Rhinolophus ferrumequinum: one gene and its partners. The protein of the gene in region 3 binds, or shares a complex with, the protein of the main gene of each other region. Links are inferred from orthologs where the notes say so. Each region holds a gene or a part of one and is shown on either strand. Other genes may lie near its edges. The genes, in order: FGFR3, FGF23, KL and FGFR4.

Evidence for each region.
Region 1: the proteins of KL (region 3) and FGFR3 are in contact, whole or in part, in a cryo-EM structure (PDB 7YSU), measured with the Homo sapiens proteins. The link is inferred for Rhinolophus ferrumequinum from reciprocal best matches to the Homo sapiens genes KL and FGFR3. Residues at the interface, in NP_004786.2 of Homo sapiens: Ser539, Gln540, Phe541, Thr542, Asp543, Asn545, Val546, Tyr547, Leu548, Trp549, Asp550, Val551, Ser554, Lys555, Arg556, Leu557, Val563, Lys566, Arg568, Tyr571, Val573, Ala576, Pro580; in NP_000133.1 of Homo sapiens: Gln286, Leu288, His290, Val291, Val293, Gly299, Thr303, Pro304, Tyr305, Val306, Thr307, Val308, Leu309, Lys310, Glu320, Leu324, Ser325, Leu326, His327, Asn328, Val329, Glu332, Asp333, Thr338, Leu340, Phe347, His349.
Region 2: the proteins of KL (region 3) and FGF23 are in contact, whole or in part, in a cryo-EM structure (PDB 7YSH), measured with the Homo sapiens proteins. The link is inferred for Rhinolophus ferrumequinum from reciprocal best matches to the Homo sapiens genes KL and FGF23. Residues at the interface, in NP_004786.2 of Homo sapiens: Phe377, Lys385, Leu389, Glu390, Pro392, Trp417, Phe418, Ser420, Lys429, Tyr432, Tyr433, Lys436, Phe437, Arg468, Ser471, Ile472, Arg556, Arg693, Asn694, Met695, Thr696, Tyr697, Ile735, Val752, Phe755, Asp756, Asn782, Asn783, Leu785, Ile812; in NP_065689.1 of Homo sapiens: Leu39, Met74, Ala80, Val88, Arg91, Leu166, Ile167, Phe169, Asn170, Ile173, Arg175, His177, Asp184, Ser185, Glu186, Arg187, Asp188, Pro189, Leu190, Asn191, Val192, Leu193, Lys194, Pro195, Arg196, Ala197, Arg198, Met199, Thr200, Pro201.
Region 4: the proteins of KL (region 3) and FGFR4 are in contact, whole or in part, in a cryo-EM structure (PDB 7YSW), measured with the Homo sapiens proteins. The link is inferred for Rhinolophus ferrumequinum from reciprocal best matches to the Homo sapiens genes KL and FGFR4. Residues at the interface, in NP_004786.2 of Homo sapiens: Ser539, Gln540, Phe541, Thr542, Asp543, Asn545, Val546, Tyr547, Leu548, Trp549, Asp550, Val551, His553, Ser554, Lys555, Arg556, Leu557, Ile558, Val563, Thr565, Arg568, Tyr571, Val573, Ala576, Gln579, Pro580, Glu625, Arg628; in NP_001341913.1 of Homo sapiens: Asp266, Gln282, Leu284, His286, Ile287, Ile289, Gly295, Ala296, Asp297, Gly298, Phe299, Pro300, Tyr301, Val302, Gln303, Val304, Leu305, Lys306, Asn311, Ser312, Glu314, Leu318, Tyr319, Leu320, Arg321, Asn322, Asp327, Thr332, Leu334, Leu341.

What each region holds. Positions count from the first base shown.
Region 1 is NC_046288.1:87,185,520-87,192,650, reverse strand, and holds the start of FGFR3 (fibroblast growth factor receptor 3), read left to right. Parts: upstream 1-4,130; 5' UTR 4,131-4,292; intron 4,293-4,563; 5' UTR 4,564-4,665; coding exon 4,666-4,774; intron 4,775-6,855; exon of another isoform or gene 6,856-6,989; intron 6,990-7,131.
Region 2 is NC_046293.1:86,507,814-86,515,739, forward strand, and holds the start of FGF23 (fibroblast growth factor 23), read left to right. Parts: upstream 1-4,922; 5' UTR 4,923-5,033; coding exon 5,034-5,229; intron 5,230-7,926. UniProt on the Homo sapiens protein: Regulator of phosphate homeostasis. Inhibits renal tubular phosphate transport by reducing SLC34A1 levels. Up-regulates EGR1 expression in the presence of KL. Acts directly on the parathyroid to decrease PTH secretion. Regulator of vitamin-D metabolism.
Region 3 is NC_046287.1:96,186,861-96,194,105, forward strand, and holds the start of KL (klotho), read right to left. Parts: upstream 3,016-7,245; coding exon 2,206-3,015; intron 1-2,205. UniProt on the Homo sapiens protein: May have weak glycosidase activity towards glucuronylated steroids. However, it lacks essential active site Glu residues at positions 239 and 872, suggesting it may be inactive as a glycosidase in vivo.
Region 4 is NC_046307.1:5,528,725-5,535,937, reverse strand, and holds the start of FGFR4 (fibroblast growth factor receptor 4), read left to right. Parts: upstream 1-4,200; 5' UTR 4,201-4,324; intron 4,325-6,719; 5' UTR 6,720-6,771; coding exon 6,772-6,862; intron 6,863-7,213. UniProt on the Homo sapiens protein: Tyrosine-protein kinase that acts as a cell-surface receptor for fibroblast growth factors and plays a role in the regulation of cell proliferation, differentiation and migration, and in regulation of lipid metabolism, bile acid biosynthesis, glucose uptake, vitamin D metabolism and phosphate homeostasis.

The DNA of each region.
Region 1 (7,131 bases), on a different chromosome or scaffold from region 3:
TTGCTCAGCCTACCAGGAAGCTCAGAGCTAAAATTAAGGATCGTGACAGTAGCTAGTGGTGGCCAATGGATTTTGGAATATTTTCTCTTGTCCTTTTTCTTTAAAATTCCATTTCTGTTATAATGAGCAAATCAATTGTGCTTTTTTATTTTAACCCTCTTCAAATTTTCCAAGAATACATTTGAAAAGGCAGAAATTACCCACAATCCACAACAGCCACAGCCTCTCTCAAATTTGCTGTTTTTTCTTTGGGGGCTGGGGATCAGCCCAGCCCAGCTCAGCCCGTCATCGAGAGGCCCCCCTGCTCCATCCTGTGGTGGCTTGCCCTGTTCCCGGGACCCCGGCCCTGTGCCCTGCAGTGTTCCTGGAAGGTATGGATGTGCGCTGCAGATGGTGAGCTGCCAGGGGGAGATCGAGCAGACCCCCGGGGGTCCCAAGAGCTTCCTGGAAGAGATGGACAGGGAAAAAGGGACTTGAAGTTCCCTTGGGGCATCAGCGTCCCCTTCCCTTCTCTTGGCCTTGGGGCAGGACAGAGAGAATCTCCCACCAGCAGCGCTCTCTGTGGGCCAGGCACTCATCCAGAGGGGAGCTGATCAGGGGGCTCGCCTACCTTGGCACTAGCGCTGACGGGCACCTATCGGGCATTGTGGCAGCCACTGCCTGCCAGGAGCTCTGTGGATAGCAGGTGGGATGTGGATTAAGTCCACAGCAGGAAGGACACCGAGGCTGAGGGCACCTCACTGCCATGTCCCCAGCCTCAGCCCAGGCCTGGCAGGGAGAGGCAAGGTGGGGTAAACACAGGGCCAGCTGCACCCAGGGCACACTGCATGCCGGCTCCCCCCCCCCCGGCAGCCCTCTTGGAGCTCGAGCACAGGCCCCAGCAAGCCGGGCCATCTGGCTCTGACTCACCGACCAGGCTGCGTGGTGCTGGGCTGCCCTCAGCCCCCTGACTCTCTCACCTTGCCCTTGGCCTTCCACACTTACCTTCACTCAGGAGTCCTGGGGGTGTGGGCCTCAGGGAGACGGGGTGGGTGTATGGGGGAGTGGGCAGGGAGGTGTGAACACTGAGGGGTCTAGCAGTGTGGGAGTCCCCTGCAGCTGGCTGGCTGCCCCTCAGACTCCTGCGCCACCACACGCCCTCAGCGGGCTCTCTTCACTCTCGTACCTTGCTCACCTACCTCAGTTGGGCAGGTGCCAGACGATACTGCAGAGGGTCCTGGGGAAAATGCTCCGTCAGGGGGCTGTGGTGAAACAGTGGCTACTCGCGGCTCATTTAAGGAGAGTTGCCGAAATCTCGGACCTGTGGCAAAGAAGGCACCATGAACAAGGGGCCTGCGCCCACGTCATGGGAAGGCCTGTGAAGCATACCACACTCCAGGCAGCAGCGGACCTGGGAATAGGAACTTTATGTTGTCAATGATAATAAGAACAAGGGTGGACAAGTGGGTAGTGACGCCCTTGGCAGGCTGACAGGGGCCGCGCCTGGACCCTTTAGAAGTAATTTGGCCAACTCAGCCCAGAGCCACAAAAATACTCCTGACCTTTGACCTAAATGCCACCACTGAGCCAATGGAGAGGCCAAATGCAGGGACCACTTCGTTTGTGGGCGGGAACACCAAAGGGACCAGCCAGCACGAGGTGTGTGGTGGGCAGAATGGGGGCCTCCAAAGGAGCGGTCCTCAGCCTCAGCCTGCCCCCGGAACCTCACAATGCGACCTTATTTGGGAAAAGGGTTTTTGCAGGGGTCGTTAAGGGAAGCTCTTGTGATGAGGGGATCATCTTGGAGCATCTGGGTGGGACCCACCTCTGATGACAGGTGTCCTTATAAGTGCTGGGTGGTCATGTGACGATGGAGGCAGAGGCTGGAGCAATGCAGCCAGAAGCCCAGGGATGCCTGGAGCCCCCGACGCTGGAAGAGGCAGGCAGGAACCTCCATAGGGAGCCCAGTGCTGGACACCTGGATCTGACTTCTGCTTCCGCGACTGTGAGAGGAAATTTCAGCCAATCGGTTAGTGGTAATCTGTCATAGCCATCTGGGAAATGAAGACAGGGTGTGAAGAACTGAGGGTCAACCCAGGCCTATTAGTGGAGGAAGAGGGGGCTCACCACCCCTACAGGCCCGAGGGACGGGGAGAGGGGCAAAAGTGGAGGTGCCCATCCCCTGCCTCCCTCTGCTGCTACTGGCCATGCCCATTGGCGAACGCCACATAGAAGCTGGAGAGCAAGAGGGCCTGAGATACTGCATGGGGCTTGTGGTGGGGCTGGGATGGCTGGGAGAAGGAACAGGGCGGGGGGAGGCACGTAGAGAACAGCTCACACAGGCCCACACCCCACCACGAGCACTTCTGCTAAGGTCACAGTTCTGGGGGCAGAAAGCAGAAAGCTACAGAGGGATGGCTGCTCACCTCTCAGAGACCAGGAGGCCAGGGAGGGGCTGTGGGCGCCGTCCTGGGGAGGGACGTGCCAGAGACAATGCAGAGCCCTTCCTGAACCTCAGAAGAGCCTTGGAAGGCCAGGCCTCAGGTGCCGACAGCTGGCCCCTCCTGCCTACCCCACCCAGGCTGATCCTGCTTCACCTGCCAGCTCTTTCCACAAAAAAATGGGTGTGTGGGGGGGTCAAGCCCAATCCAGCCCCCCCCACTCCGAGAAAGGGGGCCAAGGGGACCAGCAGTCCACATCCATCCTGGCATACTAAGTTACTGATTAAGTAACCAGGTAATAGATTAGAGCAGAATGTGTCACTGTGGCCCCGGGGATGGCATATCCTGGAGGAGGACCTAAATGTGGGTGTCCTGGGGCTATGCACTGGAGGGGTCTGGACAGCCCACTTACAGCTCAGTGGGCCCCGCTCCGTCTGGGGTACATGGTCATAACCAGAGCAGGCAGTGATGGCAGCCTGTGGCAGAGAGGGGCTGATCTGCCAGGTGGGCACAGAGGGATGGGTGTGAGGGCTTCCTGGCGGTGGGGCCCATCTCAGGCCCTGAAGTCTGACCTCCGTGGCTTCTGGCAGCAGAGGTAGCACCTGAGATGTGGGTGGCCCCAGCAGCCAGTCAGAGGGGCGTTTATTGCTCATTTGCCTGGTGTGCAAACCGAGTCCTAGAAGCCACAGCCAGGGGGGGCCGAGGCACTTGGCTGGTGCCTCTGAGCCATGCCCAGGTGACACCCTCTCGCCTCTTTTGCTCCTGGAGGGCCTCAACACTTCTGGGCTTGCCTGAAAGTGGAAGAGACCCCTTGTGAAGTTGCGCTCAGAAGCTATAGTCACATGGGGTCCTCCCCAGCTCAGCTCTGCACCACCCTGCAGTGCCCCGGGGCCTGGCACATCTCAGGCCAGCTCAGACTTTGCAAGCAGCTCCCCTCGTGATCCTTCCTCAGAGCTCTAGAGTTGGCCCCCCACCTGGGGCCCCTAGCCCTTGCTCTCCATTCTGATGCCCGTCAAACACCCAGTCTCCAAACTTGTCACCTAGGGATGCAGGATAATGACTCCCTCTGGCAGGGAACTCAGGCAGCTTAGCTACATGTGCCACAGGTGCTTAATAAATGCAGCAGTGAGCCCACAGCTTCTGGGGTGCCGTCCTCTTGCACTCTGGCCCCAAGCAGACAGGCAGAGCGGCCCTTCACCCTCAGGCTTTTGCTCACAGCACCAGCCCCCACACCGTCCGGCGCTCCTGCACCCGAAGACCGGCTGCTCACATGTCTGGGTTCAGCGTGGGCAGCACCTTCTAGGTGAAGCCTCTCAGACATGCTTCACCCACCGAGACCACACTGAGCCCCCAATCCGCGGCCGGGTGGTAACCGGACTGCGCGCTGAGCAGAGGCCTGCTCTTGGCCTCCCTGGGCGCCTAGCGGTGCGAACCGAGACCTCACCCTTCAAGCCCCGGCTCCCACGCCCTCGGAGACCGCCCGGCGCCCCCGCCCGGCCCCGCCCGGCCCCGCCCCCTCTAATCCCCTCCGCGGGCGGGGACGAGGCGAGACGCGGCCCCGCCTCCGGACCGCCCCAGGGGAGGGGCGTGTCTCCGCTCCCGAACGCGCCGGGGCGGGCGGGGCCGGGGCGGGGCCGGAGGCGGGGCGCGCGCGGGCCGGCCCCCACTGGCTGCAGCGCGCCCGGCCGCCTAGGCTCAGTGCGCGGTGGCGGCGGCGGCGCGGGCATCTGGCGCCGCGCGGTCCTTCTCGGCCCGGCGCACGGACGCACCGGCGAACCGACGGCAGAAGGGACGGGGCGCAGGCGCTGGGCCGGCAAGCAGCGAGCCGAAGCAAGGGCCGCGCGCAGCGAGTTGGGCGCCGGCGGCCGCCAGGTCGGTGCGCGGGGGCCGGGCAGGCGCGGTGGGGTCGAGGTGGGCGCGCGGCGGGGCCAGAGCGCCCGGCGGGCCGGGACCCCGAGCAATCTCCATGGCGAGGCCCGGCCGGGGCGCGGGCTTCCCGCTCTGGAAAGTTTGCGGCCGCCGCCGCCCTGGGAGGGCTCAGCAGCAGCCAGGGAGGGAAGGGGGGAGGAGGGAGGGACCGCGGCGGGAGGAGGCGGCCGGCGCCAGGCGGCCAGGGTAACGAGCTGCCTGCCTCCTCCCGCAGACTCCCGAGCGGCGCCCTCCTCCCGCCGGTGCCAGAGCGGGGCCATGGGGGGCAGCATGCCCACGCGCTCCGCCTGAGAAAGCCGTCGCCCCTGCCCCCGCGATGGTCGCCCCGGCTTGCGTCCTCGTGTTCTGCGTGGCCGTGGCGGTTGTGACCCGCGCTGCCTCGGGGCCCCAGGGTGCGGAGCAGCGCGTCGTGCGGAGAGCGGCAGGTAAGGAAGGATCCGACGGGCACAGGAGAGGGGCCTGGGGCCCCGGCAGGCAGAGGGCATCGCGGCCGGGGAACGGACGCCTGGGTGGTGGGGCCGCGGATCTGAGTGGGTCCGAAGGCGCGTACTGGGCTGGCACCGGGAGGCCAGTGTCCGGGTTTCTGCCGCCCTTCCTCCCCGGCGATCGTGGCCAGAGCTGGCGCGGCAGTTTGTGGGGCGCCTGGAGCCGCAGGGCTACCACCCAAGTGCGAGGCTGAGGCAGGGAACTGGGCACGAGGTGGCGTCCTCAGCTCCCGCCCCCGCTCTTCCCTAGTGGGCGCAGTCTGCCCCCAGGCGCCATCGGGAGGGCGTGGGGGCTGCGTCTCCACGATTCCTATTGTTGTTCTGCGGGTTTTGCAGTGACGGAAAGTTTCTATTGTTGGTGCTGTTCCCCCAACCCCTCTAGGGCCCCAGTTCATGGCTAGCTTCGGCCAAAGCGAGGGGCAGGACTTTGGAGGGAGGGTATGAGAGTGCGTCAGCCCGCGGCCCGGCCCTTGCCACCCAGTAGCCTGCATGACAAGGCGACACCTTCTAGTGCCTCCGTACCCCCACCCTACTCTCATGTCCAGTGGATGAAGGTGTGTTCTCCCCAGAAGTGCGCGCCGAACGCCAGGGGGGACACCAGGAGGTGAGAGGGCGGACGTCCGAGGGACGTGGAGCCGCGGACCCCAGTTGGTGGTCAAGGTCCGGCGGGACGTCGAGGGTCTCGAGGAGGGCTCCGCCCGCTGAGCTAGGGCAGCGGAGGGGCGGAGCGCGTCTTTGCTCCAGGCCCCGCCCCGCACACGCGCCGCGGCCCTGGAGGTGTAGCGCTCGCCCCCAGCGGAGGCCGACCGGGCGATCCCGGTATCGCCGCACCTAACGCGCGCTGCCAGGCTCCGGGCGGCAGGGCGGAGACGCGTGGTCCGGCGGCCGACCGCAGGGAGCCCGCCCCTTGGGGACAGCCAACTCCTGGGCGCCGGCGAGTGGGCTGTGCGCACCCTGCCCCCTGCCCGGCGGCCGCGCGGAGGGAGGCCTTAGCCCGGTGAGCTCACGCCCCACCCGGGCGGACCCGAACAGCCGCTCCTTTGTACCTCGGCGTGGCTATAGACGCGTATTGACGGCGGGCGCCGGGGCAGCCTCGCGGGGAGGTGTGAGCGCAGCGGCTGCGGGCGCGCCGTGCCAGCGAGGCGGCGGCCGCCGGCAGGACACAGGCAGATGGCGGCCCGCCCCTCCCTGCGGCCCCCCCCTTCTCCGCGCCCCTCTCTCCGGCAGCGGCTGCAGCCTCCCGGAACAATGTCATTTTTTTATGAATGAAAGTGGGCCCAGCGCTTGAATGTGCGTGTCATTCAGCGGCGTGACAGAGGCCGTCGGGAGGTCAGCGCGCGCTTTTACGCCTGCTCGGGCGGCCCCCGCTTCCAGGGGCGCCGAATAGGCGGCCGCGGGGGGAGCCCTGCATTAGCATTCGCATTCAGATAAAGATATTACTCTCTACGCCCAGGGAATGTCAACTAGCTCCAGGGGAGGGGGCAGCGGGCGGGGCTCCATACCCTCTCCCGGACCCCCTGCTGCGCGCGGGGGTAGTGGCCTCCTCCATCCACCCCCCTTCCCGGAACTGGCGGTGACTGCGAGGCCCGGTCCTGGGACGCAGAGCCTGTGGTGCCCCCACCGGGTGCGGGCGTGGGTAGAGCGATAGGAAGAACCTCCAAGGATGCGGGAGGGGGCTGGGCGCCTTGTCCCTTGGCCACAGCCTTGGCGCCCCCGCACTCCCGTCCCCGCAGTAAAGGTGGTGAAACAGGTAGTGAGTTGATAGGTCAACAAACTTAATCCAGTTCCTTAAAGAGATGGGCCGGGCAGTAAAAATACAAAGGCCTCATGAAATTTCCAGAGGTCCGGCCTGGCTGGCACTTTCCCAGGATCATAAATTATGGAGCCAGAGCTGGCCAGGGTCAAGGACTCGGTGGGAAAGGTGTCAGCTTGGGACTGCCCTGGTCACCTCAGGCCCTACCAAGGCAGGGTCCTCCACACGAGGCCATGTTGTTGGTAAGGGTCTGGGCAGGGTCTCCTACCTGGAAGGGAGGTTGATGGGAGCAGCAGGACGCTGCCACCACCCACCCAGCCTGAAGGGGTCTCTTCAGTGCACTATTTCACCATTTCCCGGAAGGCATTGGCTGCAACCTCTCCCACTACCTCCTCCACAGAGCTGGACTTTGAGCCTCTAGGGCGTCTGGGTGGTTCATTAACCTGGGCTGAGCCCCCGGCTGGACTTGTGGCCTCTGAGCCCCTGCACTGAGCCCATGAGCGCCCCCTCCCTCCAGGGCCTCAGGTTCCACTTGGGGCCTGTC
Region 2 (7,926 bases), on a different chromosome or scaffold from region 3:
CAATTGTTGCCAGTTTGGCTCAAGTAAACTCATAAAAATTCTCTATAGGTTTGAACATTTCTTACATTGACACAGGCACAAGTATATTCTCCTTTTTGGAAGATGAGGAAACTGAGGCTCAAAGAGGTGAGGCAACGTGATAAAGAGAGCATAGCTGATATGGGGCATAACTTGGTTTCTGACCCAGTCTGTCTAACACAGGACCTGCGTAATTCAATCACAGGACTGTATTAACTCTGAGCTGTGCTAAAGAAAAATGACTCATGCCAGGAAAAAGGCGAGATTGGTTCCGAGTACAGCAAACTGCTGGAGGTGTGAGGAGGCTGAGTTCTCGCCTCTCTCCTTAGACACCCTGCTCCTCCCAATCATGTGGCAGGAGCATCCTGTCCACCCCCCACCCCCACGTCTCAGCAACCATGACCTCCAACAGGCTGGGGGATGCCTGCCTCCGGAAGCCCCAACATCCTGCACTCTGCTGAACCCACAATGTGTCAGGCCGCCCGTTCCAGCTGCAGAACACAGCCGGCCTGACCTGACAGGCTGGGGCTGAATTACCGGCCCCTCAGCTAGAAATAGCCCTCCGAGAAGTTGTGGTGGCTACGTGTCCACAGGGAGGGGAGGAGGCAGGGCAGGGGAGCCAAGGAGTCCCAGGATCCTGAGATAACATGGTCCGGATGTGCAGAGTTCCAAACATGGTGGGCTGGCCTGGGTCACAGGCTCCAAGGAGGTGAGTGGGAACCAGGATGTCTGCTCCCTGACGTGGGCAGCGTGACAAGCCCCAGGCATCCTGAGAGGGCGGGCTGGGTTCCGATGGGCAGCCTTGGAGCACCAATCAGGTCAGACGGACCGTGTGTATCCAAAGTGTCTATTGTTCCTTCCTTGGGCAGAATCCAGCTTTGGAATCATCACTGTCATCCCTCTCGTTTTGGTCAAAGGCACAGAACGGGATAATGGGAGAAGCGGCCTGACAAAACTTCAGGCAGAGCAATCAGACATTGCTCCTTCTTCCCCCGCCTGGAAGAGAGCAGGTATCTATCTTCTACTTGAGTCCCTTTCTTCAGCACAGAACAGAAATGAGACCCATACAGGTGAAGATGAGCTTGCCAAAGGCGGCTTCCAGGACTTCTGCCGCCAGGGTCTGCTCTTCCACTACACGACATGAGTTGGGAAGGGTAAGACCCAGACCGGAGACAAAATAGTTGTGCCAGGAATGATTCCAAAACCTTCACTGTGGGCACTTAGAGGAGTTAACATCCCGAAGTGGGGAAAATAAAACTATGGGAAGCCAAGCAGTGCCATGCCTGGGCCAGTGCGAGGACTAGGGAGGCAGGGAGGCATGTGTGCGCAAAGCGGGCGTTTCCTTTCTCTCCATAGCACCCCATGTTCCAAGTGTTACCGACGAGGCAGGAGCGAACTGTGCACGGCAGGTGAAAAGAGTCACCCAGCTGGTCCTGAGGCAGGCTCAGAATCCAGGTGGCCTGATTCCCTTCCAATGAATAAATGTCACTGTGGTGTGGTGGGGGGACTCCTGCTGACAGTGAGAAGCCTGATTCTGATACTAAGTGTCACCTTGGCTAAGTCACCTCTGGTCCTCAGTTTTCCCTCATTGTAAAAACAGAAAATAATGAGGATTTCTTAAGTTCCCAACATCCAATTATGAGATTCTACGTTTCTATGACCCACACAAAGAGGAAAGTGAGGGAAAAAGAGACCTTTTGATCACGCTGGTTGGGGGAGTTAGCAGGGGAGGAAGAGGAAGAAAATGAAGAGGAAAGGGAATGGATTCACAATTCGTAAGTCTCCCAAGCTCGGAAAACGCCAGGTGGGGTTCTGATTCAGAAAGGCACAAAGAGGAGACGGGTGCTGAGGGGGACTGGGTAGGGAAAGCTGGGACCTCAGTTACCCCAGCAAGGGCCATGAAGTGCCCAGGCTATGAGGTCTGGCAAGCCACAGGGATATGTGCAGGAGTAACAGTTTGGGAGCAACCCCCTCCAAGGAGACCATTTCTGTAAGGGACGTGTGAGACGATCATTATGAAAGTATTTTGAAAAGTTAAAAAGTGCTATTTCTATAAAGTAAAAAACATTTTCTTGGAAGGTAAATAGTGTTGAAGAGAAACAAAGGAGAGTCAAGGAGCCCTCTGGAAATGTGAGTATGTGTAGGGTTTGAGGAAGGAGGTACAAACTCATAAACTTTACACTGAGAATCATTAATTCAAAAGCTGTGTCTCACACGCTACCTCCACCCCACGTGTGGCTTTCTTCTGAGGGAAACAAGCATAACCCAAGTGAAACTTTTGTGAAATCATTCACACGGGCCTGGCCTCTCCCAGCCTGGGACACATGTCGCCTTATCTCCCCCAAGCTGTAGAGGTGGAGGCCAGGAGAGGGTTTCCAGTGAGAAGGGTGTTAGTGGAGAATGGGGTGGGGGGGTCGGTGGGGAAGGAAAGGGGCTTGGGGCTGCAGCTGGGGATCAATCGCTTGGACTTCTCCTGTGTCCTCTGCCCTCCAGCTCTTCTATGACCTTTAATTTATTGGGGTTCCCCAGTGAAAGCATCTGCAGTGCTCTAACCCCTCTGTGTCCAGCAAAATATGCTTCTGGTTATGGCACCAGAGGCAAGATAGCAGTGGCACGGATCCTGTAATATTACAGAAGTCATTTGTATTTCACTTCAGACTGTATAATAAGGGCTCTATTTATATGTTTAGATTTCCTTTTGACTACATCTGTTGGGCTGACACTGATGTTATAATGATCTATAATATTAAATTATAAAATATATAATTACATACATGATATTAAATATTATATTAAAGGCATCTGCCTTGCTTGAGTTTATCCCTAATCCAGTGTGGACATTATAAGCAAGGCAGGGGAAGAGAATCGAGCCAGCCAGAAGAGAATTTAAACACTTCCAGGCACCATTCACAGGTGGGTAACTGTGAGGTGGATGATCAAGTGTAGCAGGTGACAAAGCAAACACTTGGGGGGTGGGGGCTGGAAGACAAGACAGTGTCCTACACCTAGGATCATTCTGTGAACACCTTTAAAGAAGACTGTTGTAGCCATGAGCATTTAAATGTCCTAAATCTCCTATCTAACCCGAGAAGACTGCACCCTGCCCCGTAGAGACACATGCTGGGCAAAGGCTTGGGTTTGCTAGAGAAAAACTGAAGCATACTATGCCTCTTTGTTACTTGCACTTTCTTACCGAGCCCTTAGCTCTCTGGCTTTTTTCTTAACATGTTGTGGGGTTCATACATCTTCTAGCAAAGTGCTTAGACGGTCTGGAGTCAGACTGCCCAGATTCCAATTGGACCTCTTCCACATATCAGCTGTACACCTTGGGGCACATTACTTAAACTATGTGCACTAGTTTCCTCATCTCTATGAAGGAAATGGCAGCATCTCTTTAACGGGTTATTATGAAGATTAAATGAGTTACTACAATAAAGCACTTAGTTAAGTACTCGATACATGTTAGTAGCAACTATGGTTATTATTGGAGAAACAGCTTTGGGAATCAGAAGACCTTGTCCTAGTTCCCCCATTTATTTGCTTTGTGACTTTGGACATATGAACCCCAAGATCTCCATTTCTTTGTGTATAAAATTAAAATATTGGTAATGCCGGGTGTGCCTGTCTCACAGAATGGCAGTAAGATTCAAATGAGTTAATACAGAGAAAATGCTTTGTAAATTATAGAAACTCTAAGAGAAATGACACGTCCTGTGTCCTGCACCTATATCATTGCACAATCCATCATGTTTTGTATATGTTTACTTATTTTTATCTGCCTCTTCCATGAGCCTGTGAGGTCCTGTATGCGGGTATCACATCTTGCTCGCTCTTCTACCAACCACGATGTCTAGCCTGATGCCTGCACATGGTATGAATGCATCAAACGGGAAATTGGGAGAGCCACAACCTCCTGTTGTGTATGTTTTCGAGTATGCATTCCAGTGGCTTGCTCCGCATTGGACTGCATGTGCTAGGACTATCCCTCCACATCAGATGCAGCTTCCCAGAGGACACACCTGTGAGCAGCATCTGTGAGAAAGGGTCCAGTCCCAGGAGCCAGACACCCATAGGACACTCATTGTGGGGACAGCCTAGCCTGCTACTGCACTCCTGGGTCCTTCCTGGCCTCTGACCTCCTGTGCTCAGCCAGCGGTCTTCCAATCTTCATGAGGTCTCTGAATTAGTCTCCAAACTATTGGAGAGACCATAATACTTGCCCTAGACAGTCCAAACCAGGGACACTGAGAAATCAAACCTCAGCATTTTGTAGAGTAGCAGTGACTTCAAAGCGTTGTTTCTTTCTTCCCATTTTGAACTCTTCCCAAAATGGCAACTTTGGTTTTTGCACCTCTACTCATAGCTCCCATGTCTTCAGGAGGAGATGGGTCTCAGAGGGTACCATTTGCCTGATGGTGCCCTGTGTTATTTCTGTATCCTTCAAAACACCCAGCTAGTGCTGTGCACAGAGAAAGCCCTGAACATATAGTTGCCGAATGGATTAAAAGAACTGAGAAAACCAAAATGAATAAACTCAATGGGAGATTAATTGCACAGGAGTCTGTTGACCGCATGACTGAAGATGGATTTTTTCGGAACCACTGGCTGCCTTCACATTTCCTGCTGGAAGTGGGACAGGTCAACAACAGACAACCCAGAGTCGTAGATAACTTTTGCCCACACATCATTCACTTTTTGGAGCGTTGGCTTGAAATTGAGGGGTTTGTGTGCCTGTGTTTCTGGAACCGACGTGCCTTCCGTGAGCCCTAGAGGTCTCTGCACTTTCTTCAAATGGGCTGATTACAACACAGAGGATGTGGACAGTGGAGTTTTTCCTGTTTGATGTCACACTGCTACCCTTTAAAAGTCCGAGGGAAAAAAGGAGGGAACCCAGCCTGGGATCCTCACACCAGATCCCCACAAAGAAGAAGAGGAGAAAAAGGCCAGGGAGGCCAGCCCACAGTCAGGGGGCAGTGTCAGGTTTCAATTCTGTGCCAGCCACTCAGAGAGCAGTGATGTCGGGGCCCAGCCTGGGGCTCCTGGTCTGCATCCTGTGCAGTGCAGTCAGAGCCTTTCCCGATGCCTCCCCACTGCTCGGCTCCAGCTTGGGTGGCCTGACCCACCTGTACACGGCCACAGCCAGGAACAGCTACCACCTGCAGATCCACAAGGACGGCCATGTGGATGGCACACCCCATCAGACCATATACAGTGAGTAGGGGCTTCATTCTGGCTGTGGAGAAGGGGGGTTCTGTCCATCCACCTACAAGGGACTTGGGGATACCTTGCATTAGGTCAGAGGGCTAATCCAGCCTCCTAGCTTCTTGCCCAGGACCTGTGTGTGTGTGTGTGTGTGTGTGTGTGTGTGTGTGTGTGTGTGTGTGTGTGTTTAAACCTTGGGAGAAGATTCTGCCACCTCCCTAATTAGTATTTACTGGTTTCTCCCAACATGAATAATTTGTCTTAACTAAAATCCCTCTTCCCACAATAGCAGCCACTTTCTCTTTGTCCTGTCCAAAGAGGTCAAAAAATGTGCAGAAAGAGCAGCAAGAAGGCTAAGAGAAAAAAGGCAGATAGGTCAATAAACGCTGAGTTTTAGCTCATGAACTTTGGACTGGGTTAGCAATGGAGGTTGTGAAGAAGATTCCACACCAAGGTTTGGGATAGATGAACTCAGCGGCTCTTTGCAACTCCAACTCTGAGCTTCTTGTATTCTGGCCTTACGAAAGTTATCAGGAAAAATGTATTAAAGACAGGCTATCCAGGTATATTGTCTTGGTGAGTCTGATCAAGTATACAAGCCATTCATGCACTCATCTGTCTGTGCATGCGTGCATGCATCCGTCCAGCCATCCATCCAACAGGTTTACTGGGAGCTTCGAGGTACTTTGGTATGAATTACTGACTCTTCTCTGTGGAGCTGACAGGTCCATTCAGTAGCAGATTAAGCTAGTTGGAAACTCTTTGCCTACACAAGACAACTGGAATGTTTTTAAAGATTAGGTTTTTGAAAGTTGGTTCACCCGTCCACAATAGTCAATTATTTATTATTCAAATGAGGGTCTCTTGGTTGCACCTTTATAAAAGATAACAGGGTAGGAGGGAGGATGGATATTGAAAAAGACAAGATCTTCTATTTTATGAAAATATGTAAAAATTACTCTAAGGAAACAGAAAAATGCACACTGATTCAATATAGATCAAATTAAAGGAACAAAAGAATAATCACAGTCTCTGTTTACTCAAAGAAAACTTCTTATAGGAATACCAATTTACTCTTCATTATTATACTAAATTACTCAGTAATTTTGCTGTGACCTTGCTGTATGCAAGACACTAATTTTGCTAAGAATCAAAGGTCCTTAAACCTGGTGGCAAGATACATGCACATGCAAAGCCAACAGTTCAAACTTTTGCAAGCGTTCAATGAGTGGTGATAGGAGGTGAGAGGAAGGAGAAAAGGTCTGTCCAAATACCAAACAGATTCCAGAACTCACATAGATACAGTAGAATTCAGGAGTCAACATCTTGAAAGCCAAGTTTGAGTCTAACGGCAAAAACCTGCAATAAATCTGGATACACTTGAGGCACCCAGAGTGCCAGTCATATTATCCAGTGGATAGTTAACAGAACCTGTGATGTGTGTGACATCATACAAAGCTCTGTGACTACAAAGGAAGACACAGCATAGCGGGCCACCCTCACTTCCACTGCAAGGTGATAAGTGATTTAAAATGCATGACAGTGAATTATGGTAAATTATCTTGATTCCCATAGATGGAAAAGACTTCATACAACTAGAGAATGCTGATGAAACTTGTCCAGAATCATGGACTCCCTTCACTGAAAGACATGTCCTCCTGAACACGACATAGAGAGGAACAGTGTGTGCCAGCTGTGATGGGCTCACTGCTGCAGCGTGGGGCCCAGGCAAGCACCGGGGAGCAGGCAGGCAGAATTGTAGAACTTTCCCTCAAATATCCATGGACCGCAGGCCCACAAGAGGCACTGAGCACTAGTTGGAATTAATTATTAGGTTGGTGCAAAAATAATTGTGTTTTTGCAATTATTTTAAACATTTAACCTGCAATTACTTCTTTTTTTTTAGTATTTTTTTATTATTATTTTTTAATTTATTGGGGTGACAATTGTTAGTAAAATTACATACATTTCAGGTGCTGCAATTACTTTTGCACCAACCTAATAAAATGACTGAAAAGAAGCGAAATGAATTGAACTGATTTCAGATTTTTTTTTTTGACAGAAAAGTGATTTTGTTTTGTCAGATATAGATACTAGCTAAGCACTGTGCCTCTGGATATCAACACAAACCTAGGGAGGGGAACTCAGGTCAGGGTGGTGGAGGGAGACAGTTTTCTTAATTTATATACTCTTTTGTGCTATTCAAATCAGTTATCATGTGCATTACCAAAAATTATATGTGTATATATATATATATATATATATATATATATATATCCTGAAATGAAGAGTTATCAAAAGGAGAGAGGAAACATTGGTGCATGTAGGTAGGTAGCACAACTAATTAACAGAGGATTTATAATTACCGCCTCAGCGAGCATAAAGCAATACTTTTAAACCAACAGGAAGGTGTGGAATGGTTTTCTCCCCTCCTAATTATTTATAGACTTCCAGTGAAATGTTTCGTTTGATTATTGTGCTTTTTAGTAAAGTCTTGATTAATAGTCAAGAGCCCAATCGGTCTTCGGGTTGCTGGTCACTGTGACATTATCTGCCGACAAGATTCTATAACTTCCTTTCAGACTCACAGCGCTCGTGTCTGGGAGCCTCTCCCGTGTCCCCATGTGCTGTCCTACTGTGAACAGCACCACCCTCCCATTGCCCACTAGCCCCATTTTTGGAGGCAGCAGAAAAGAGATGCTTCTC
Region 3 (7,245 bases):
TGCTGGCCAGCTTTGTCCTTCACCAGCATCAGATCCCCAAATGAAAATGAATATGCGAGCCCCCCAATATGCGAGTGGCCCCCAACAGCAATATCCAAGGCCCAGTGAAAATGTTCTATTAACAAAACCTGCAGAATATGTTTTATCTTTTCCAATAAGATCAAAACTTCCCCACCCTCCCCCAACACATACACCAAGAAAGAACATAGAAAACAGAATGAAAATATCTCATGAAAAAAGTTAAGATATTGTCTTTGATAATGAATGCCACCTTGCTTCGTAAGATACAAAAATGACTAAATTCCAAAGGAAAGAAATTTGAAAGCAAAATTAATATTTTACAGCAACTAGCATTTTGTTTTCAGCATCAGGAAAACCAAGTGTTCACCTGTCACTAATAGCTTATGAACACAAAGTCCACTGCATTTCTGGGAAGAATGGTTAGTGTTTGGCCAATTTTTTTGTGTAAGGGTACAAAAATGTTAATCACATTTTTGTGATTAGTTAATTTTGTGAAAAGTTAATCACAGGGCAGAGAGTGGACACAAGAATCAAAAGCATGTTGACTATTTAAAACATCAGAACACTCCTGCTGTCCCAATTCCTCACCTTATAAATAAAGTGATCATGTAAGTCACTAAAATAGCAAGTGACACCTTTTGTATACATGCAGAGTTTATTACATGCACTCTAAAAATATAACTCGTGTGATTTAAATCTAAAGTAGTGATTTTGCAGAAATGGTCTACTAGGTCCTCCAGCTGGTCCATGAATCTCTCTCTCTCTCTTTTTTTTTTCTGGTATGAACTGAAATTTGCTTATGTTATCTTCAAAAGAGGGGGCCAGTTCTTCCCAATAGTTTTTCTACCACCAACCATAAACAGGTAGTGCTTAGGGTCTTTTGATTCCTTAAAAGGATGGCAAGAATGAAAAAGTTTATTACCATTGCTCTAACATACCTTAATGAAAAGATATACAGCAATATGAAATCACTAAAATTGCATTTTTTCCCCAAAAACCTAACATTCTTTTATGATCTGTGGTTTTGTGGAGCTGACAAACAATCTATTCAGCATTATTACAACATTACTGGCAGCTCTGAGTACTGAATCAACTCCATAACCCAGTAATGTTCTACCTCAGTTATCTATGGCTTCAATTAAAAGTATGTAGAAGTGGTCTTTGTCTTGAATTTGCTCAAAATATGTGGCTTAATTCTAAATTTAAAAATAGGTCTTGCAGTGGGCCTACAAGTCACCAAACTACAGTTCCAAAAACACGTAAACACTTTTATTAAAATGTTCGCACATATACATAACATATTCTCTTGCTATACAAAACTCTGTATAAAGTGTACCAACACCTGGCATCACTCTAAAAGAATCCTCAAATCAATGGGACCTAATCTTGAACACTAAGTAAAGGAGGAAAAGGGGGATTGTTTGGGAGACAACTTTATCATGGCATATCAACACTTCCTGCTGCCAAAATTTATTAAGCTTTTTGTACAAGGGTCTTAAAATCCATTTTGTCAAGAGGAATCCTGCCAAGTGGAGAGAGCATCATGGAAATACAGTTGTTGGAGGACACAGTCTATATTCCCCTGTAGTTGTGTATGTATTTTTATGGCTAGCTTTAAGAGTACTTTGGGGGGTCTTCACACCCCTGACAAGTAAGGTTGAATGGAAAGAACTTCCAAAGACAGTTTAAACCTGCTCTCCCAGAGATGAGATTTTGACACGTTTGCATTTGCTGCAGTGTGAACTTGAATCCCAAGCAAGACAGATCTTATTGGATTAACATTGAATTCCTGCCATCTCCACAAACTCCAGCTGAGAGAAATGCTGTCTGGGCAGCTTCGGAACAAGCTTGTTTCTTTCATCCACCATCTTCATTCTCCCCAAAGCTACTAGTAAATCCTCCCACCTTACCTCTAGGGATTCCTCTACACCCAGAGAAAGGAGCTCCTTTTTTTTTTTTTTCTCACGGGAGAAACCTATTCCAATTTCTTTCTGACAAATGGGCTCCAAAGGAAGCCCGAACTGCTCAGTCACTACACCCTGTGCAAATCCTAGGTGAGTGCGCTCTCACAAAGCGGTTCATAGGGAGCCTCGTCTGAGCTGAAGGCTCGGGCACCCCTCTTGCCCTGGCGTCTCCAGAGGCCCCGTCCCCGGCGTGGCCCTCCGCCTGGCCCCTCGAACTCACCAGGAGGAGGTTGTGCGCCACCAGGTACCCGAGCTGTGCGCTGCCCCGGACGCCGGGGGCTAGGCGCCCGGTGGCGTAACCGTGCCAGGCCACCACGTAGGGGTTGTCGATGGTGATCCAGTACTTGACCTGGCCGCCGAAGTGGCGGAAACAGAGCTCAGCGTAGTCCCTGAAGTGGTCGGCCAAGGCGCGGTTGGCCCAGCCGCCGTATGTGTCCTGCAGGCGCTGGGGCAGGTCCCAGTGGTACAGGGTGACCACGGGCTGCACGCCCAGCTCCCGCAGCCGCTCCAGCAGGCGCCGGTAGTAGCGCAGCCCCTCACGGTTGGGGGCTCCGGCGCTGCCATTGGGGAGCACCCGCGCCCACGAGATGGAGAAGCGGTAGTGGGTGACCCCGAGCTCGCGCAGCCCCTCTGTGTCGCGGAAGACGTTGTTGTAGCTATCGCTGGCCACGTCCCCGGTGGCGAGCGGGGACGGCGTCGGGGCGCCCGACGGGAGGCCGGCTACCAGGGGGTCGCCTGCGGGCGTCGAGGAGTGGTGGGTGAATGTGTCCCAGATGGACGCGCCCTTGCCGTGCTGCCTCCAGCCTCCCTCCGTCTGGTAGGCGGCGGTGCCCACGGCCCAGTGGAAGCCGTCGGGGAAGGTGTCGTGGAGAAGGCCCGCGGCCTCGGGGGCCGGAGGGCGCGCGAAGCGGGCCCAGGTCTGCGCACCGTCGCCGGGCTCGGCGCGCAGGCGACAGCCACCCAGGGCCAACAGCAGCAGCAGCAGCGACAGCGGCGGCCGCGGGCGGCGCGGCGGGGCGCGAGCGGGCATGCTGCGCTGGAGCGGGGCGCCGGGGCCCGCGCCGCCCCTTTATGCCCGCGCCCCCCCCCCGCCGCGCCGCCCGCCGCCCTCCGGCTCGCCCACCCCCGCTTCCCCCGCGGGCCCGCTGGCAATAATTACCTGCGAGTCGGCGCCTCCCCCACCCTGGAATGGAGGAACCCGGCGCAAAGGGCAAGCAGGTGTCGGGGGAGGGGGCGCGACCGCGGGCAGGGGGCAGCAGGCGCCCCTCCTGGACGCCGGAGAGAAAACACCTGTTCCTCGCTGCGCCCCGGAGCGAGGAGGATGTTCGGGCGCCCCAACTTCTCTGCGCGCCGCCTTCTCTTCCCCATCCGCGCGCGCTCCGGGAGGAAGGCACCGAGCCGGCGTGGGTCCCGGAGGGAAGGCGGCCAAGCAACTTTCCCCGAGTGCGGCCGGGGTCTTTGCCCGGCCTCGCGGGTCCGCAAGCGGGAAGCACCTGCTTTCTCTTTACTCGCATTGGGAGGCCAAGAAAAGCGTTAGATTGACATGACTAGAGCCTACTAGGAATTGGCTGAAATCGTGTTGGGAAGGCAAGGTGGGATAGCTAGGTCGGAACTTTGTCGCGAGAGGGCTGGAGGCGGACTTTCCTTCAAGTCTGTGGCTGAGATGCTTGCGGAGAGCCGCTCACTCGCGCAGGGCTGGATGGCGGTCCTGCAGGCCCCAGTCTAGGAAGATACGGGAGATGCATGGGTTGCCTCAGAACTTTCTTTCCTCTCTCTCTTATTGTTATCCTTTAACCATTTCAAACCAGGGCTTGCTCTTTAATTAGATCTTGCAGACTGACTAGGTGAGCTTCAAGTGACAGTTGTTGATTGTTCTTCTAAAAAGAAAAAGGGAAGAAAACAAAACACCAACGTTTCCACTTTGAGTAACCGTCTTTCACGTTTATTACCGTTTTTCATTCATTTTGAGGAATAATCATGTGTTTTCGCTTTCAGCTCTAGCTTGCCAAGTAACTTATCTGTGTGAAGTTGTGCACACAGCTGTGGTGGAGCCAGAGGTCTCTGCGGCTCACAAATGTCACCTGAGCTGTGAAGAGAAAGGGGAGGAGGGATTTAGCCCAAGCAACCACTCCCTCTGCAACAAAATAGAGTCGTGATGTTTGTCTAGTTGCCAAAGAGCCCTTTTGACAGAAGTTGTCGGGACACAGTGTCCCTTCCAATACGTGTATATGGGAAGCCGGGGCTCCACCTTTGTGGTCGTGGCCAGGACACACCTTAGGATCCTGATCTATCCAATGGAAATAGCCATGTCTGCCCTGACACCTTAGAAACTTGTGAAGCCCACAGATGACTGAACCAGGAAAAGCCCCGACAAATGTAAGATCTTGCTAATATCTGTACCTCCCTTTTCAATGGGGTGTGCTTCTGTCAACCTGTGTTGAACGAAGCTCCTCCCAGAGGTACAGCCGTTCTCATCCAGTGAGCACCCCTGCACTGTTTCATATAAATTTAAAATCTGTAAAGTTTTAAATATTACAGATGAAGGTACTTTTATTAATTCCCTTAAAATGTAACCACAACACCTTTATTTTGGTATTTTATTAAATAGTCCCAACTCCAGCTAGCATGTATTATCATGATTAGTAAGACCAAGCCCGCAGACTGGAATAAGACTTTTTGCTATTCTGTTGCATGTGGCATTTACATTTTCCATTAAATGTGAACTAAAAAAACAATGACACTTCAGCAATTAAAAAAATTACACTACTCAACTGCATAGTCACACTCTTCCAGCTAAATTAAAAGGCTTCTCTGCCTGCATGCAGGATCACATTTCCCTTCTAGAGCTAGAGACTGGAGTGTTTGCTGCATTGTAACTTGTTAAGTTTCAATTAAAAATGCTTCCTGGGTATCACAGAAAATAGTGTTGGCTAAGTGTTCACTGAGTGATGTCTGTATGGTCTGTTTCCTCAGGGCAGATTGTATCTATTGCTACTTTTATTTAACCAACAATACATTTCTAAAAGTTATTTTTTAGAGAAGTTATTAAAAAGAAAGACCAAGTTGACGAAATGCTTCACGTTTAAAGTTCATCTCTCTCTGAGGGGGCTGTAAAGTGCTATATCCTCTAAGTTGGACATCAAAGCTTTCAGCATTTGCAGGGATGTTCCTAGGTGATAGTTTATTTAATCCAGTGATAAAGATTACATGAGAATTAAACTTTGTTTCCAGAACTCAATGTTTATCAAGGTTCTGTTCATGGTTATTATGTTCTGGGATTCCTGAAGTGTGACTAACTGCTACTGCTGCTTCTCATTTGTTCAGTTCTTACCTTTCACAGCCACCTTTGAACATCTAAAATGTGGATTTCATTCAATGCTTTGTTCTCCCACAAATAAGAGTTTTATTCTTTGCTGTGTTTTGAATGTGAAGTTATTGGTACATTGAAGGAAAGGAAAATTTTAAATTGACTTATTGACTTTTGTCGTGATGATGATTTGCAACAACCTAATGGGGGGTCATCAAGCTGACACATTCCTTCATCCTCATCCTGTCCCTTCTGGCCAGTTCTTGCCCTGTGTGCTCTTGGGGTCCCCCGGAGCCCTCCTTGGCCAAGGTAACAGAAGGAGACTCGCTGACCCACATGGGCCCAAACACAACACCAACCTCACGGGCATTCAGCTCACCAGCCACAGTCATTCAGCCTCACGGGGAGTTACTAATATATGTCAGCAGCAGCACTCTGAGCAACGGTGTGGGCAAAGCCACCGTGGAGAGCTTAAGACTTACATGACAACCCCTGCCCTCAAAGATAATGCTGGATTAGAGAAAGGGGATAAACACAGTTGACAACAAATAAGTTTTGTAGTTTATTATGTTAAACAGTAATAAATGACACATGTGATAGCTGTTAGAGGAATTCAGGGGAAGGAGAAATTGTCTTGTTTTGAGGGGGCTAGCAAAGTTTCACAGAACAGAGGTGACAACATTTGGGGTTTAAAGAGTAGAAGTTGCAAGGCGACCTGAAGGCAAGGATAATAAGGAAGCAAAACATGGAAGCAAACAATGTTCACCGTGTTTTTGTGGTTTAAAAAAATAAAAGTCTGTGCAAGGAAATAGTGGACTGAAACGGTAGCGAGGGGTCAGACCATAAAAGGTCTGTAATAGGTTCTATCATTATGTCGCATCAAAGCCTCGACCTTCACTTACTCCTTAAACTAATGTTTGCATTGTTCCGACCCCTCTTCTAGGCACGAGGCAGGCAGCAGTTAATGAAATAGACCAACGACCCTGCCCCCCTCTGATACCGCTCTCCCAGTCTTCCCTCTGTTCCAGCCACACTCGCCTTCTGGTTGTCTTTGGAACAAGCCGAACTGGCTCCCAGCCTCAGGGCCTGTGACTGGCAGTTTGCGGTCTCTGGTATGCTCTTCACAGGGACCGCCTTCTTCTCCTCATCAGGTCTTAGAGCAGCAGCCACATTCTGAGAGCAGCGTTCTTTGACCTCTCTGTCCAGAGCTGTTATCCCCAGTGACTCTCAATGATTTTCCTCACAGAACTTATGACTATCTCAGATTATCTTGTTTGTTTACTTGTTTACTTCCTGTATCCCCAGCTAGAATGTAAGCTCCATGAGAATAGGAATCTGGCTTTTTCTTTGCAGTATCTCCAACACCTAGAATAGTGCTTGCACGTTATAGGTGTTCCACACACATTTGTGGAATGAACGAATAAATGAACAAATGAATGAATGAATGAATTGGTAAGAAATGGCCGAAGAATGTAAGCTCCATGAGAATAGGAATCTGGCTTTTTCTTTGCAGTATCTCCAACACCTAGAATAGTGCTTGCACGTTATAGGTGTTCCACACACATTTGTGGAATGAATGAATACATGAACGAATGAATGAATGAATGAATTGGTAAGAAATGGCCGAAGCACATTGTTGAGAACTGTGAAGCCACATCCTGGCTTCTAAAGGAGGCTGTGATTCATTGGTAACATCTTCCCTGAGCACAAGAAAGAGAAATGGTCCTAACAGTGCCATATTTGATATCCTGCATACGTGCTATGGTAGGCCACGTCCCAAGCCTACTCTACTAAAACTTCAGGTAGTTCTGATGCTACAACAAGAAATAGAACACAAAACTATGTCGCTGAGCAGTAGTTTAAGTGCTGATGTATGTGGTACACCTGAGACACCGCTGACAAGCCCAAGACGATTGAAAAGACAGTGGCATTAGAGTTCGGAATGTCTCTGAT
Region 4 (7,213 bases), on a different chromosome or scaffold from region 3:
TTTGTCATCTTCGGATAGAAACTGGACATAGAAGTGCCCGATGGGTGGGGAATGAGGAGATATGAAGGCTGGAGAAGGGGTGACCCTCACAGTCCCTCCCTCTTGGTCACAAGAGTATGTTTCCCATACCTTGGGGCCCATAGTTGTCAACATTAATATTGGCCACTCTTTAGTGAACATAGGCTGCGTGCACTGGGCTTTATATCAACACGCTGAGTTCTCACAGAAGAGCTGTTATTCCCATTTTACAGAAAATGAAACTGAGGCTTAACAGTAAGTGACTTATCCAAGGGCACCAAGTTTCAGGATTCAAATCCACATCTGCCTGGCTTTAACACCCAACCTTTCACCACTGCTCAGTTGCTGTCCACGTCACCTCCGTTTCAATGACTCAAGCCAGACTTCCCTGGAGCCTGTGGGAGAAGCCAGGGTAGAAAATGCCTGGAAAAATGGTAAAGTGAGAACAATGGTGAGTTCTGAGTAGCAAATGTATGCTATTACCCTGTGTACTTTTCTGTATTTTAAAACTTTCTCAAAATAAAAATTGTTTTAAAGGAAAGAAAGAAGACAAGGAATCCCAGGGCTGGGTCAGAGGATGGGCCAGGCCTGGTCTGGAGCGAAGCCTGGGCAGGGGCTCCCGGCGGCCCTTCGGCACAAGAGCCCCAGTGTTCCCTGGGCCCGGCTGCCATCCAAGAGCAACATGGTTGGCACCACGCTCCCAGGCAGGTGGGGGTGGGGCCTGGCCCAACCTGGCACTCCAGGAGCCCAGAATCTCCAAGCCCTGACAAGGGCCTTCATAGGTGCCCCATCAGTACTGGCCAAATGGGCAGGGAGAAAAACGCCTGGACCCAGCCCACCCTCCCCACTCACCCTCAGGTGGGTCTCCACCTTCCCGGCCACGTTTAAGGATGGGAGCAGAAAGTGTGTCCATGTGTTAGCAAGACAATCCCAGCTCCGTGGGGTCACCCTGAACTCTCCCTCATGGTCCCGAATGATCAGGGTTCAAGTCTCAGTTCTGTTGTTCGCTTGCTATGTGACTTCAGAGAAGTCATTCCATCTGCCTGAGCTTCCGTTTCCTCACCTGCAAAATGGAACTAAGGAACCCTACCCCCATTTGGCTTGGGGGAAGGGTCAAAAGATAGAATGTATGGGTGACACCTAGCCTGGCACGTGCCTGGCAGCTACCGGGAGCTCAGCCACGGCCAGGACTTTACTTCCTGTTTGGGAGACACCCATTCCCATCTCTTAACTCGTGCATTTCCTCCAACGCCTCTGAGGAAAAGGCAGCAGGAGTATGCCCATTTTCTGGATGGAGAAACTGAGGCAGAGGCGAGCTAAAGGCAGGATCTTAGGAGGGCAGACTCCTGAACCCTTGCTAGGGTGTGTGCGTTTGAAAGTCTTTGGGAGAGAGTACAAATGTGAACTGGTGACAGATGGTTAACAAGAGTGAGACTCTGAGGGGGAGACAGGCTTGGATGTGGACCCTCAACAGGTCTCCTTCTGTGCTGTTTACTTATATATCTCTCCCCACTACAATGTCAGCAGCTCCTAGAAGGGTAGAGGCTGGGTCTGATCACTGCTTTTCCCCGGGGACATTTGGCGAATGAATGAGTGAATGAATGAATGACCTTGTGAGAAGAGTGTCAGACACTGCAAAGGGTCAGTGTGAGAGGTTGTGAGTGTGGGCGGGGGGCCGGGTAAGTGATGTGTGGGTGCGCTGGAGTGGGGGAAGGTTGCCCATCTAAGGGATTTGACCATCTCAGGAGGCAGGCAGCCTTTGCCTTTGGCTCAGGTAAACTGGAAAGTTCCTGGAAGTTGAATGAAAGCTGTGTGGGGTCCAGCGCCTGCTGGCAGCCACCGGGCCCCCAACAACCACATTCACTACGAGAGCCAGAAGAGGACCAGAGGTGGGGGCTGCGTCTCTCCAAGTTTCTGGGAGTCTGGTGAGACCCCTTCTGGGAAGGAGGCTACCATTTGCTGGCACACCAGTGCCAGGCGTTTCAAGCTTCCTGGGTGCTCCAGCAAGGAGGGACCCCGGAGGCGGGGAACCAGGACAAGCTGTTTTTAAAAGATAGCAGCTGATTCTTTTCTGATTTATCTTTGGAAGGAGACCATTCTTTTGTTTGAGGAGGAAAAGAAAGATAAAAGAAACAAATCACTTTAACGAGCCTTTTAGTTATGCAAAGGAAAAGCTTCCGTAGGGGTGGAGAGACTAAGAGACTAGACGCCTTGCCATAACAATAGGAAAGGACCCTGCTTCCCCTTGGCCACTGGTCCTGGGCTAACTGGGAGGTGAGCTGAGACCCCAACTGAGGGGTTCCCTTTCTCCTCCAGGAACCTAGAGGAGCAAAGGGCTGGGACCTCAGGTTAGGGTTGGACAGAAGTCAAAGATCAGCTGACCTCCTATTTGGCCACTGTCAAGACGCTCAGGAGAGAAATGCTTGCAGGTAAGGCAGACTTGTGCCTGGAAGGGCAGAACTATTTGGGGGACACTTACTATGTGTCAGGCACTTGAGTTGTAACGGTGAAGTCTGGAGGCAGTTTCTGCCTTCCATTTACAAAATTAGCTATTTAGCTACAATTCTGGAACATGCAATTAAGAAATAACAGGTTCTATTAATACTTAAGCATCCCTATGTTCATTGCAACATTATTTACAGTCACCAAGATATGGAAGCAATCTAAGTCTCCAAAGATAGATGGATAAAGTGGTATGTATGTACAGTGGAATATTACTCAGTCATTAAAAAAAGGATCAAATCTTGCCATTTGTGACAACATGAATGGACCTAGAGGGTATTATGCTAAGTGAAATAAGTAAGAGAAAGTAAAATACCATATGATTTTACTTATCGTGGAATCTAGAAAACAAAACAATCAAAACAGAAACAAACTCATAGATACAGAGAAAAAAATTGATGGTTGCCAGATGGGAGGGAGGTTGGAGGAAGGGTGAAAAAGGGGAAGGGATTAAGAAGTAAAAATTGCCAGTTATAAAAATAGTCATGGGGATGTAAAGTACAGCATAGAGAATATGGTCAATAATATTGTAATAACTATGTAGGGTGTCAGAGAGGTACTGGACTTTGGGGGAATCCCTTCATAAGTTATATAACTGTCTAATCACTATGTTGTACACCTGGACCTAATAAAACATTGTATGTCAATTGTAATTGAAAATTTTTAAAAATTTGAAGGAAAAAAAAAGAAATAATAGGTCCTAAATGATCATAGCCTGCGTTACAAAGCAAGTGCTCTATGTCAGGCAGTGTTCCAAAGGCTTACATATACTAACATGTCTACTTTTTGCAACTGATTTTTGAGGCTGATACATTATCATTATACCCGTTTTACTGAGGAAAAAATGAAGACACAAATGGAGTAACTTGCCAAGGCCATGTGTTGATGTGCTGAGATTTGAGTCCTGCAATCTGGGCTCTTAATCACTTCACCAGCCCACCCAACCCTCCGCTTCTTTCTCCAGGCTCACAGGAGAGAAGACGTAAGAAGAGGAACCTGGCCAAGTCCAGAGGGCTTCTCTGAGGAAGTGAGCAGAGATCTAAGAATGAGGTGGAACTAACCAGACCTAGCCGGGAAAGATCTTTCTAGGAGGCGGAACCCCCAAGTGTAAAGCCCAGAGGTAGAGTGTGTGCAAGGAAGAAGTGAATGAAGGATTCATCTGGAAACGTGGGCAGGGGGCAGATTATGCCAAGGAAAGTTTGAAAGGGGTGATTGTGGTTGGTATAGTCAGATTTGTATTTTAAATACCACCCTGAAGGTTGTGCCGAGATTGGATGGGGAGGGGGTCAGAGGGGGTTTGCTAGACACTATATATATGGCTATTGCTAGGAAGACAGAGGAGCCAGGTTGGGCCAAGGTTAGTGGAGGCGGGGGCGGGGGGGCGCTCAGGACTGCTGGGTCTTGTTCCCCAGGGGTGACAAGCTGGAGGTAGAGCATAGACTAGAACTTCGAAGCCTGGCCTGGGTGGGGCGAAACAGGCGGAGTCTGAGGGGGTGTGCAGCGGACTGGGGGCCCCGGGATTGGGCTGGACCCGTCGGTCGCTCCACGCTGTTGGGTTCGGGGACTGGTTTCCAGGTGGGTGGGACTGTGCGCCACCCGCAGCCACACCGCTGTCAGGATAGAGCTGGTCCAGGAGGGGCGGGGCCTAGGTGGGCGGGGCGCCGGGCCGCCCGCGGCCACGCCGCTTTCGTGGGTGCATTCCTGGCTCTCCAGCCCGGGGCGGAGGAGCGCCCGGGCTGAGTCTGCGGTCCCCGCCGGGTTCGGGGGCTGGAGGGAGCTAGGAGCGGGGCCGCGGAGGACCCAGGTGAGCAGGGACCCTCTGCCGGGAGCGGGCCCGCGGAGGCTCGAGGTGAGCGCGGACCTGGTGCGGGCCCAGCCTGCGCTCACAGCCGCCAGGGGGCGAGCGGCGGCGGGGCTGCGGGAGCTGCCCCCTCCCAGTACTGGGGACCTGGGCGTCCGCTCGGCGGTGTGGGGGGGGTGGAGGGGACGGTAAATCAGTAACCCGCAACGCACACAGGGCCTTTTGTCCCACTCCGTCCAAAGAGCACCCTGCCCGCGGAGCTGGTTACTCATTGCCCACCCGGGCGGGGGCGGGCTGGCTGTCTCTGCAGCTCCCCCTGAGGACCCGCCGACTCGCACCTCCCCCCAGGGTGGCGGGGTAGGGGTGGAGGAGGAAGAGCGCGCCGGTCCCTCAGCTGCTGGACCGTCTGCGAACCCCGAGTCGAGATGAGAACGGTGAAGCTCCCAGAGGTGCAGTCATTTGTCCAGGGTCCCCCAGTGCTTGTGCGCTAGAGGCGAACGGGCGGCTGGAGGCGAACCCAAGACTGCCCGGTGCTAGAGTCAGGCCCTTCGGCCCCATGTCCGCGTGATCCAACTAAGGGCGCCGAGTTGCTGAGGTCAGGGTAGCCTGGGTGTGGAATAAAATCCCCAGACCTCCCCACCTCACTCCCAACCGGAGCTGTGGCCCCAGAAAGCTGCCCTCCCTGCAGAGGGGAGGGTGGGAGGATTTTTACAGAGGGTGGGAAACTGGAGGTGGGTGCTAAGACAGTGGCATCTGAGCCAGGTGTAGAAGAGAAATGGCACACAGGTATGAGCAGCAGAAAAGACGTGCCCAGTTTTGAAAGCCTGTGGCTGAAGGGGCTGACTGCCGGACCAAAGATCGGCCGGCCAAGGAGACCTAGGATGCTGGACAAACAGTGGGCACTGAATCCTGCTGGACACGGACAGTCATTAGAGCTCTGGAAGCTGGCAGGAAGGCGGTGACAGTTCCGGCTTGTAATTTTTAAAGCCCTGCTGCTGAGTCGAGGCTGGAGAGCACAGGGAGTGTTCACAAAGGCCCAAGTTACAGATGACCATGGCCTACTCTGGGTCCAGGCAGGGGATGTGGGTTGTCCTGGAGAAGGATTGAGGAAGCAGAATGGACTAGAAGTTGGGAAGGGCAGGGAAAGGGATGATGCTCCAGCTACAGGTGCAACCCAGGAAAGAAGCAGTTTGAAGAGGGAGATAATGGCTTTGGCCAGGACGAGCTAAGTACCCCCTGCCTCAGAGCCAGAGCTGGACTGGGTTGGGGGCAGCAGCTGAGGCGAGAGGGTGCAGTGGCCTTCCTGGGCAAGGTAGATCCAGAGATAACAGTGCCACCTAACTGTTACCTAGCCCCAGGGAATAGGCAGTAGGCCCCTCGGACCACGCTGGTCACCCTCTTCCCCGCCCCACCTGATGCTTGGGTTTGAGTGTTCCTTTTAGGGGTTGGAGACATCCTTAGTGGCCTCTGGAAGAGGGTAACCAGATGGGGTGGGTGTGTACATCACACCTAACAAGAACAGTGCCAGAACTGGAGGTGACTGGCCGAGGGCAGACCCAGAGTACCCGTCCTCCTGGGGAGGGGAAGGGGCAGGGGAACATTCCAACATTCTATGTACCCAGCTCCTGCATATATTCTCTTTCGTCCTCAATGCAGTCCTGTGAGGACAGCGGCCCAGACGGGGCCAGGGACTTGCAAGTTGATAAGTCAGCATTTGAACCTGCTTTTGTCAGACAGCAGAGTCTATACTCTTTACAAGAGCCACTGTTGCCTGAGATGAGGTTGTGGAGGAAAAGCAGAGGTATTCCCAGGATGCTATTCTGGTGCCAAATGAGGAAGCACTTCTGCCGGCCATGGGATGGGCTGCTGTGTTAGTAGTGAGCACCCTGCCACTGGACGGATCCAAAGCTGGTTGTGAAAATGTCAGCGATGCTAATAAGGAGTGGGGGTCAGATCAGATAACATCCAGATGCTAAAGTTTGGCCTTGTTTTATATTTCAGATTCTCCCCCCCCCCCGCTCTTCAGCAATAAATTCATTTATTCAGCAAAAAAATAAATTATGTGTGCTGAGAGCGAGCAGAAGATATGTCTTCATTCTCTGCTTGCCTCCAAGGAAAGAATCCCCAAACTGCCCTTTCTGTGAACTTGTGCCAGGGGCTCAGCAGGACCCTCGGAGAGCAGGAAGCCCCACCTCGCCTCCCTGCACAACCTCCTGTGGGGCAGCCTTGGGCTCTGCAAGAGCAGACCTGCTTCCAGTCTGCCCTGCCGCTTGCGGGGGAGGGGGTCTCGGACAAATGGCCCGCCATTTCCTGTCTCAGTTTTCTGATCCACAAAATAGGGGAACAGCGCCAGCCAAGGTGCACATGAAGCAGGGGCTCCTCTCCCTCCCTGTTTCAGGAAGGCCGTTGGTGGGAAGCCCAGCCTGGGCCCCGTGAGCAGCAGGAAGGAGATGCAGCTACTGTTGGCCCTGTTAGGAGTCCTGCTGAGGGCGCGCTGGGCTCCAGCTTTGTCCTTTGAGGCCTCTGAGGAAGTGGAGCTGGGTATGACCTCTAAGGTGGGAGAGGGTGGCAGGGGTGGGAAGAGTGGGCACCAGGAGGGGACTGCTGGCTGAGCAAAGCTGGAGAGGATCCTGGCCCAAGCCCTGAGAAGGTGGCAACAGGGTAGGGCCCAACCACTGAGACTCAGTGTCTGGCTCCCAGCAAGCATCCACCTATCTCTGTGTCCACGTGAGAGGACTGGCCTTGCAGGGCCCAGGGCCCTGATCTGGGCTGCAGAGCTGGTGGTGAGCCCCTTGGCTGTGTGTGTGCGCGTGTGTGTGTTCTGTGTACTGTGTGTAGCTTGGAAGGCCCAGGCGGCACATGTGTTGTATACACTGTGAGAGTGATGTGCCC